Coturnix japonica: one gene and its partner. The protein of the gene in region 1 binds, or shares a complex with, the protein of each later gene. Links are inferred from orthologs where the notes say so. Each region holds a gene or a part of one and is shown on either strand. Other genes may lie near its edges.

Region 1 (4,467 bases):
AAGACAGTCAGATCTGCGAACTGAAATACGGTGAGTTGGCAGCACGAGGAAATGGGGGAACCCATTTAATGGGATCCTGGATGTGCTGGGAAGAAGCACGTTCAGGTCATTGGGGTCTCCAGGCGGGGCTGCTGTCAGTGGGTATCCCAGATGGCTGTAAGGGGATGGGCTGTATGGGGCATGCTCTGTATAGGGGATGCTCTGTATGGGGGATGCTCTGTATGGGGCATGCTCTGTATAGATGCTCGTTATAGGATGCTCTGTATTGGGGCATGCTCTTATAGGGGATGCTTCTGTTATGGCGCATGCTCTTTTAGGGGGCATGCTCGTGTATAGGGGAATGCTCGTATGGGATGCTCTGTTATGGTGCCATCTCTGTATAGGGGATGCTCTGTATGGGGCATGCTCTGTATAGGGATGCTCTGTATGGGGGCTGCTGGTGGGGCTGCTGGCTGCTTTAACCCCTTTAGCTTCTGCAGAACCACTGCTCAACCTCCCAGTTGGCAGCAGTGCTGTGCCCAAAGCCCTACTGGGACCTGGCTGTTCTGGCAGCACACAGTGCACCTGGGCTGGTGCCTGTTGAGCTGCCGGGCTGTGCGGGTGCTGCTGGCATCGCTGGGTGCTGCTGTCACCTGTCCTGGCTGCTGCCTCTCACCACCCAACTCGGACCCAACGCTCCGTGCTGCTGTCTGCCCTGAGAAGACCAAAGAACAGCCACAACCTTCATCCTGCCGGCCCCTCTTCCATCCCTGGGGGCGGCCATTGGGCTGCGGTTGCTGCTCTCCTCGTTCCTTGCACTAACGGAGCCCCGCAGCCTCCCAGGCAGCCAATGGCTGCCATCACCAGCCGCCGCTGTCTGCACGGCCCTGAGGACTCACAGTGGATCGTGTTGTTGCCGTGACCCCGTTGGAGCCGGTGCTGATGTTGGCTGTGCTGTCCCCGCAGACAAACAGATCGACCTGAGCAGCGCCGACCTGCGCAAACTGCGCGTCAAGGAGCTGCGGCGGATCCTGGACGACTGGGGCGAGACGTGTAAAGGCTGCGCCGAGAAATCCGACTTCATCCGCAGGATCCATGAACTCATGCCCAAGTACGCGCCCAGGGCGGCGGGGGCGCGCTCCGACCTGTGAGCCGTGTTGGCGCGGTTCGGTTCGGTTCGGTTCGGTTCGGTGTCTGTACGCATTAAAGTGACACGGTTCGGACCGCGCCGCCTCCGCTGTCACGTGCTTTTTCCCGCGGTTCGGGGGGTGGTGGGAGGGGCGGTGGGCGTGGCCGCGCAGCGCACGCCGCATTCTGATTGGCCGCCCGGAGTGACGCGCCGGCGGGAGGCGTTCCCGCGCACGTCTCGGCGCGCCGCCGCCGCGTTCAGCCGGCGCCATGCGGCGTGTCGCGCGGTGATGACGTGGAGCCCGCGCGGCGCGGCGGCCGGAGCCGCCTTCGTTCCCTTTTGTCCAAGATGGCGGCGGCCGCCGGAGGCGTCTCCTGAGCCGCGGGCCCCGGCGCCATGAAGCGCGGCAGCGAACGGGACGGCAGCCCGACGGGGGCCGGGGGAGGCCGCGCCGCCGCCGCCGCCAAGAGGCCCCGCGAGCGAGAGCGCGAGAGCAGCAGCCGGCGCGGCCCGCACCGCAGCTCGGGCGCGTCCCGCAGCAGCCGGGACAAGTCCACGCCCGGCGGCGGCGGCGGCGGCGGCGGAGGAAGCGGCGGAAGCGGCGGAGGCGGCTCCGGGTCCCGCAGCCACCGCGGCGATGAACGCGCCGGCGGCGCCGAGTCCAACCACCGTCCGGCAGCCGGCGGCAGTTCGGCCTCCGCAGCCCGCGGGCAGCCCGCCCCAGCCGCGGCCTCGTCGTCGTCGTCGTCCCGCGCGCTCGGCGTGCCCAAGGCCAAGGCGCTGCCCGGTGCCGTGGTGGCCCCGTCGCTGCTGTTGGCCGGGCCGCCGCCGGGCGCCGCGCCCTCGCTGCTGCTGGCGCCGCTGGGGGGCTCGGCCGGGCTGGCCGGGGAACCGCCCGGCTCGTGTGAGTACAAAACGCTGCTGGTGAGCGGGCTGAGCGCGGCCCTGCCCGACCAGCTGCTGGAGGACGGGCTGTTCCGCCTGTTCCAGCGCTTCGCGGGGGGGGGCGCCGGGGACATCAGCGTCAAACTCTCCCACACGCCCGAGCTCGGCCGCGTCGCCTACGTCAACTTCCGACACCCCGGGGACGCCCGCGACGCCCGGCGACACGCCCGGGCCCGGCAGCTGCTGCTCTACGACCGGCCGCTCAAGGTGGAGCCCGTGTACCTGCGCGGGGGCCGCAGGAGCCGCACGCCGCCCCCCGCCCCCTCCCCGGAGCCGCTGGGCTACCTGCCCCCCCTGCACGGCGCATACCAGTACAAGCAGCGCTCGCTCTCGCCCGTCACCAGCCCTTTGCTGCGGGAGCCGCGGCCCCGCCATGCACATGCTGCCGCCGCCGCCTTCGCGTTGGAAGCCGCCGCCATCGGGCTCTCCCGGGAGCGGGAGCGAGCCCTGGATTACTACGGGCTGTACGACGAGCGCGGCCGGCCCTACAGCTACCCCATCGTGGCCGAGGAAGACCTGATGCCGGAGGACGACCAGAGAGCCACCCGCAACCTCTTCATCGGCAACCTGGACCACAACGTCTCGGAGGTGGAGCTGCGACGGGCCTTCGAGAAGTACGGCATCATCGAAGAAGTGGTGATCAAGCGCCCGGCCCGCGGCCAAGGCGGCGCTTACGCCTTCCTTAAGTTCCAGAACTTGGACATGGCGCATCGGGCCAAGGTGGCGATGTCCGGCCGCGTTGTGGGCAGGAACCCCATCAAAATCGGCTACGGGAAAGCCAACCCCACTACCCGGCTGTGGGTGGGTGGGCTCGGCCCCAGTACTTCCCTGGCTGCCCTGGCGAGGGAGTTTGACCGCTTTGGCAGCATCAGGACTATTGACTATGTGAAGGGAGACAGTTTTGCTTATATCCAGTACGAAAGCTTGGACGCTGCCCAGGCCGCCTGCGCGCAGATGAGAGGCTTTCCCTTGGGTGGGCCGGAGAGGAGACTCCGTGTGGATTTTGCCAAAGCAGAAGAGACGAGATACCCGCAGCAGTACCAGCCCGCGCCCCTCCCCGTGCACTACGAGCTGCTCGCTGACGGATACAGCAGACACAGAAGCCTAGAGCAAGACTTGAGGGTGCGAGATAGGACTCCTCCGCACCTCCTGTACTCGGACAGAGACAGGAGCTTTGCAGAGGCAGACTGGGCCAGTCCTGCCAAAAACGCTGAGCGCAGGAACAACTTGGAGAGCTACAGCCGCTCGGTGCGGAGCCGGAGCGGAGAGCGCTGGGCCAGCGACAGCGACCGCGCCGTGCCCAAACTGTGGGAAGAGAGGAGGAAACGGCGGAGCCTTTCCAGCGACCGCGGCAGGACTGCGCACTCCCCTTACGAGGACAGAAGCAGGACAAAGGCCAGTGGGCCGGCTTCAGAGCGCAGCCCGGAGCGGGCTCGCAAGGAGAATCACACTACAGAATCCGGAGCTGAGAAAGAACAGAGCAACTCCCTCCAGAACAATCGTCACGCGACCGAGGAGAAACCCCACCGAGAGGCGTCCGACGCTGCGCAGCCTAAAAAAAGGGACAGCGAACGCAATCATCGAACTGCTGAATCGGAAGCAAAAACTCACGAGGAGCCGAAATCCGAGACCAAAAAGGTAAAGAATTTGTCGGAATACGCTCAGACGCTGCAGCTGGCTTGGAACGGGCTCCTCGTGCTAAAAAACAGCTGCTTCCCCACGTCTATGCACATCCTGGAGGGGGACCTCGGCGTCATCAACGGGCTCCTTAAAGACCATTCGTCCGGCGGGAAGCTCACGCAGCTCAAAATCGCTCAGAGACTTCGGCTCGACCAGCCCAAGCTGGATGAGGTGACTCGCCGTATCAAACAAGGCAGCCCCAATGGCTACGCCGTGCTCCTGGCGACGCAGTCCGCCCCGGGCGGCTCGGGGGCTGAGGGGACCTTCCCCGCGGTCGAGCCCGGTTTGCAGCGACGGCTGCTCAGGAATCTGGTCTCCTACTTGAAACAGAAGCAGGCTGCTGGGGTTATCAGCCTGCCCGTGGGAGGAGCGAAGGGCAGAGACAGCACAGGCATGCTTTACGCGTTCCCTCCTTGTGAATTCTCTCAGCAGTACCTCCAGTCAGCACTAAGGACATTGGGGAAGTTGGAAGAGGAACATATGGTGATAGTTATAGTCAAAGACACTGCCTAGCCCACACTGTCTTTTCAGATTCCATGTTTTCTTTGTGTGTCACACAACCCCGTTGTTTTTAAGGCCAATCATTTTGGTGGAGGCTCAGAACACCTCGACCGGAGTGCAAAGATTTTTAGTTTCTAATTAATTTTAATACCATTTAAATAGAGCCCGTTTCATTCGTTTTTAATATGTGACACTGTCCGCTGTTGTTCTGTATTTTTATTTTTTAACTGTAT
Region 2 (4,294 bases), on another chromosome or scaffold:
GTAGAGATTAAAGTTATTGAAACAACAACAAAAAGGATGACTAAGCATTAATAAGCAGCTTGGATTCAGTGTAGTTAATGAGCAACATAATATCCAATAACAACCTCCTGCCCAGTGTGGGTACATTTGCACATTTCTTGGAAATCCAGGCTCTGTGAAATTCAGTCAGTAGGAGAAACAACGTGATATTAAAACCATAATTACTTTAACATGGCTTTAAAAGGGCTGTAATCAATACCCAGCTTTATATCCTTAGTTAACTAAGTACACATCTGTACTTACATTGTCTGTTATAAGCATCCCAGACCTGAGCTTAACTGAGTCACCACTCAGCTGTAATTGTAGCCTAATTGATTGGTTGCTGTTTAGGTGATGCCTTGAGGAGACACTCCACAACATACAGGTGTGAATATATTCCTGACCACCACATTGCGTGCAGCAACTCACAGGTGTGCAGTGGTACCACAAGCGTTGCAGTTAAGCATTATATCAGCTCCACAGACAGCAGTTATAAAATGATAGTATTATATTAACACTGCAGAAGTTGCTGTGGTGCTGTCCAAATGTTCGCTGCTTTTTGCACTGAGCTGAAGTCCATAGTATTTAGTCCAGTATTTGACACATGTGATCACTTTGTGCTCATCTAAAACTTTTAAAGCAAACACCTGCAAAGGATTTGTGGAGGAAGCAGGGCAGGAAAACCGAAAGCGCAATCACAGTCCCTGTTTTTTAGCTCAGATCTAAGATAAGGCTTTCAAAGTACTTCAGCTTTGTATTGCTGGGGTCATCACTCATGTGAAACTTGCTTTTTTGTGTAGCCACACCAGATCTCTGTATACACGCCTTGAGCTTCAAGGTCTTTCTATCGCTAACTCAGGGAAACTGATGCTTCTATATAAATACAAACAGGGAATATGTACGTTGGAATCCCTCCAACGTTTTGTTACCAATTAACACAGCCACGAAGCCGGATTTCTATCGCACCTTCAGGCAGGCAGCGAGGCACAGAGAACCGACTTCAGCTGGGGGTTGACAACTTCCAGCAGCCCGTTCCAGCCCAGCGATTCCATAACACAGCAACCAGCCGAACCCCAGCCGGGCACAGAGCACCGAGCTCACAGCGCACCCTGTGAGGAGCCTCCACAAACCAGCCTCAGTACCGCGGTATCCTTCCGCCCGCCCCGTGATGCCCCGCACTAAACGCTCGTCCCGCCCCTCCGCCGTTTAACTGACGGCTTTTAAACCAACGTTCCGATAACCGGGGAAGCAGCCGCAGCGGGACAGCGAGCCCAGCCCGCCATCGTGTGTGTGCTGCGAGAGAGGCGAGTTCCCCAGGGGAGCCTCTGAGCAGCCGGGCCGACCCGCCAAGAGGCCGCTCCGCCATCGGGGTCGGCACAACCCCCCTCCCCGCTCACTGCGGCGGCTCCAGCTCCCGCCGCGCATCGCGTGTTGCGCGCGCAGCCGCCGCCCTGTGTCGCGGGGCGGAGCGGGCGGGCGCTCATTTCCTCCTTGGGCGCCATTTTGTAGCGCAGAGAGTCCGCAAATAAAGAGCGGGCGGGAGCGGCGCGCGGGGACGCGCGGCTGGGGGGGACGCGGCCGAGACCCCGGCTGCGGAGCGGAGGAACCGGCCGAGCCGGCGGCGGGCGAGGGAGGCGGCGGACGGGCCGGTGCGAGCGGCGTTCGGCACTCGATGTGACGGGTCCGGCCCGGGCTATCGAGCGAGCTGCCGAGAGAGCGGGCCTACGCACCGCCGGCGGGAGGTGAGCGGGAGAGCGGGCGCCGTTTCACCGTGGGCGGCGGCGGGCACCCGGCGGTCCGGCCCTCACCACGGGCGGGAGGGGAGCGGAAGCGCCTAGAGCCATTTTGTGCCAGGCCCGGCGGCCCGCGGGGAGTCTCCTCCCCCACACTCGGCCGCGCCGCGCCCCGGCGCCGTCCGCCTCGAAGGAGGGAGGGGGTGGGAAGAACCGCCACGGGCCGGGGGGGCCGCGGGGTGTGAGGGGTGAGCGGCTGCGGCGGGCACGGGCCGCGGGGTTCGGCGCATAAGGTGGGGCTGGAACGGAGGGGAGGGGGCGGGAGCCGAGGCGGTGTGAAATCAGCCCGCGGCCGAGCGTGAAGTGTGTGTGTATGTACGTGTGTGTGTGGATGGGGGGGGTACCTTTTTCCCCTTCTCGCGGAAGCCTAGATGCTTTTTTAGGGATTTCCCCACAACGCTTATTTACGTATCATTAAAGGAACTGGCAGTTAGTTAAAGCACGAGTAGGGAAGCAGCAGCTCGCTCATATCTGTGCTTAACTACTTCTTGACTTCCTTGTTCTGTTTAAATGAGTTGAGTTTAGAGTGAATGCTTGCATGGGAATTGGGAGGTGAAATTCACATATGCTGTTATCTATCTGTGTATGTATTCAACCTAAGTTTTCTGAGGTAACTTACTGAATTCTTTTAGTAAACTTTATTTTGTGGCGGTGTTTTTTTTATGTCTATCCGCTGCAAATGATAACAAGTGATAGTAAGGCTGCCTTGTGCAATGCAGTGGCCTGTAGCATCCATCTTCCTCGCTGCTGTTGAAGGATCTTCAACAGATGGCAAGAGTTAGCTTTGCTGTCAATGTAGTTTTCTTTTTTTAGCTGTAATTGTAGTTCTCTTGGACACAGGAAATTGTGTTTCTCTCTGTCAAGGATTTCAGTGGTGCTGAAGTTTTCAAGGCTGGAACTTGTGAATACGGAAGCAGTAAAAGATTCCTAAATGTTTTAAGGAGGATTTAAGTAGGCGACTTAAGTACAGGGCTCACTAGCATTCTTTTTCCAATCTCTAAGTTATTCTGTGTTAGTTTGAATGAGTGAGTTGAGCACCATCAAGTTCATATTTAGCCTCTTGGATATATATTCAAGGTACGTGTTAAGTGAAGCAGGAGCTGTGCCAGAAGTTAAAGCACTGAGGAGTGGGGAGGAGAGGGCTTTATCTTGGGGAAGCACTTCAGTTCTGCCATCATCGTATCATAGTATCATAGTCTCGTGAGGGTCGGAAGGGAACTTAGAGATCACCATGAGGGCTAGGAACAGGAAGCTGCCATTCATCAGTGAGATGCTTTTACTACGTGTTTTTAGAGCCATTCCCACAGGTTCTGATGTCAGTTTCTATTTTATGAAGGGCTTAGAATCTGTTTCCTCTGTGTGCACTGCTTGCTGTCTTCTTAGGGTTTTCTTTGAAAGAAAAAGAAACTTGATTTGAATGGAGTTCTGTGTATTTGTTGGTAGTTAGTAGGTTTCTGTAAACTGAGGCAGTTGTGCTTCATTTGGAGTGTATTTGTGTTATTGACAGGAATGGGGCCCTTAGGATTTGTAGAAGTTCCATTAGTTCCATGCGTGCCTTTGTGAATATACCAAAGGTGCTTCGTGTGAGTCCTTTGAAACCAGTTCTTTGAATTGAAGTGCATTGTTTTCATCAAGTTGTGTTCATGACTGAGGAGTTGGCTGCATAATTTGAGTAGACATGAGTTGCAGCAGCTCTATACACTTGTCAAATCTCAGTACTGTTTGCAGCTTTCTATGGAAGGCACATTGCAAAGATGCATGGCTCTAAAGAAGTTCAGCTTCCTTGTTAAATATGCTTTAATGCTGTAATAGCTAATAGTCTTGTGCGGGTTGGAAGGGACCTTAGAGATCATCGAGTCCAACCCCCGGGATTCGAGCCTCTGTGTAGCAGAGCGGCACTTCTACCACTTGCACCACAGGGGGGATTCGAACCCAGGCCCTGTCTAAGGGTTTTTGTGGGCTTGATTTTTAATGTTGTCTGACTTAAATAAATCTCTATTTGCAGGTAAGAAAGCGTGTCTAGTAACTCAAGGAAGTGTGAATATTTAACTTAGCACAAATGTGGTCCTGTTATGGTACATACACACAGGATGAATTGAATTTTGATAGTTAGCCAAGCCATTAACTGACATACTGCCTTCCCTAAAAATAACCACAAGGGCTTTTAACTTAATATTAAGTTTGTAGCTTAATATTAATTTATCACAATATCACAATTAAGCTTAATATTTATTTATCACAATCTTAAAAGTAAGAGTTGAAAGCACATAATGTGACCCAAGCTTTACAGGTAATGTTCGAAATAATTTGCTTTATTCTAAAATGGTACTGAAGTAGTAGTGTTAATTGCTTTTATAGTTGATGTTATCCCCTTCCTTGTGGAACACTGCATTAAGTAGTTTTGGACACACAGGAAATGCCACTTTGCTTATATTTATTTAAATTAACAAGGTCTGATGTTTTTAGCAGGACACGGGGAAATG

The links.
Region 2: RBM15B (region 1) and WTAP share a complex: the UniProt entries of both Homo sapiens proteins name them as parts of the WMM complex. The link is inferred for Coturnix japonica from reciprocal best matches to the Homo sapiens genes RBM15B and WTAP.

The regions. Positions count from the first base shown.
Region 1 is NC_029527.1:1,216,294-1,220,760, forward strand, and holds the start of RBM15B (putative RNA-binding protein 15B), read left to right. Parts: upstream 1-1,382; 5' UTR 1,383-1,504; coding exon 1,505-4,246; 3' UTR 4,247-4,467. Other genes in the region: MANF (mesencephalic astrocyte-derived neurotrophic factor), read left to right, coding at 1-30, 946-1,130. UniProt on the Homo sapiens protein: RNA-binding protein that acts as a key regulator of N6-methyladenosine (m6A) methylation of RNAs, thereby regulating different processes, such as alternative splicing of mRNAs and X chromosome inactivation mediated by Xist RNA.
Region 2 is NC_029518.1:41,024,290-41,028,583, forward strand, and holds the start of WTAP (pre-mRNA-splicing regulator WTAP), read left to right. Parts: upstream 1-1,484; 5' UTR 1,485-1,760; intron 1,761-4,294. UniProt on the Homo sapiens protein: Associated component of the WMM complex, a complex that mediates N6-methyladenosine (m6A) methylation of RNAs, a modification that plays a role in the efficiency of mRNA splicing and RNA processing.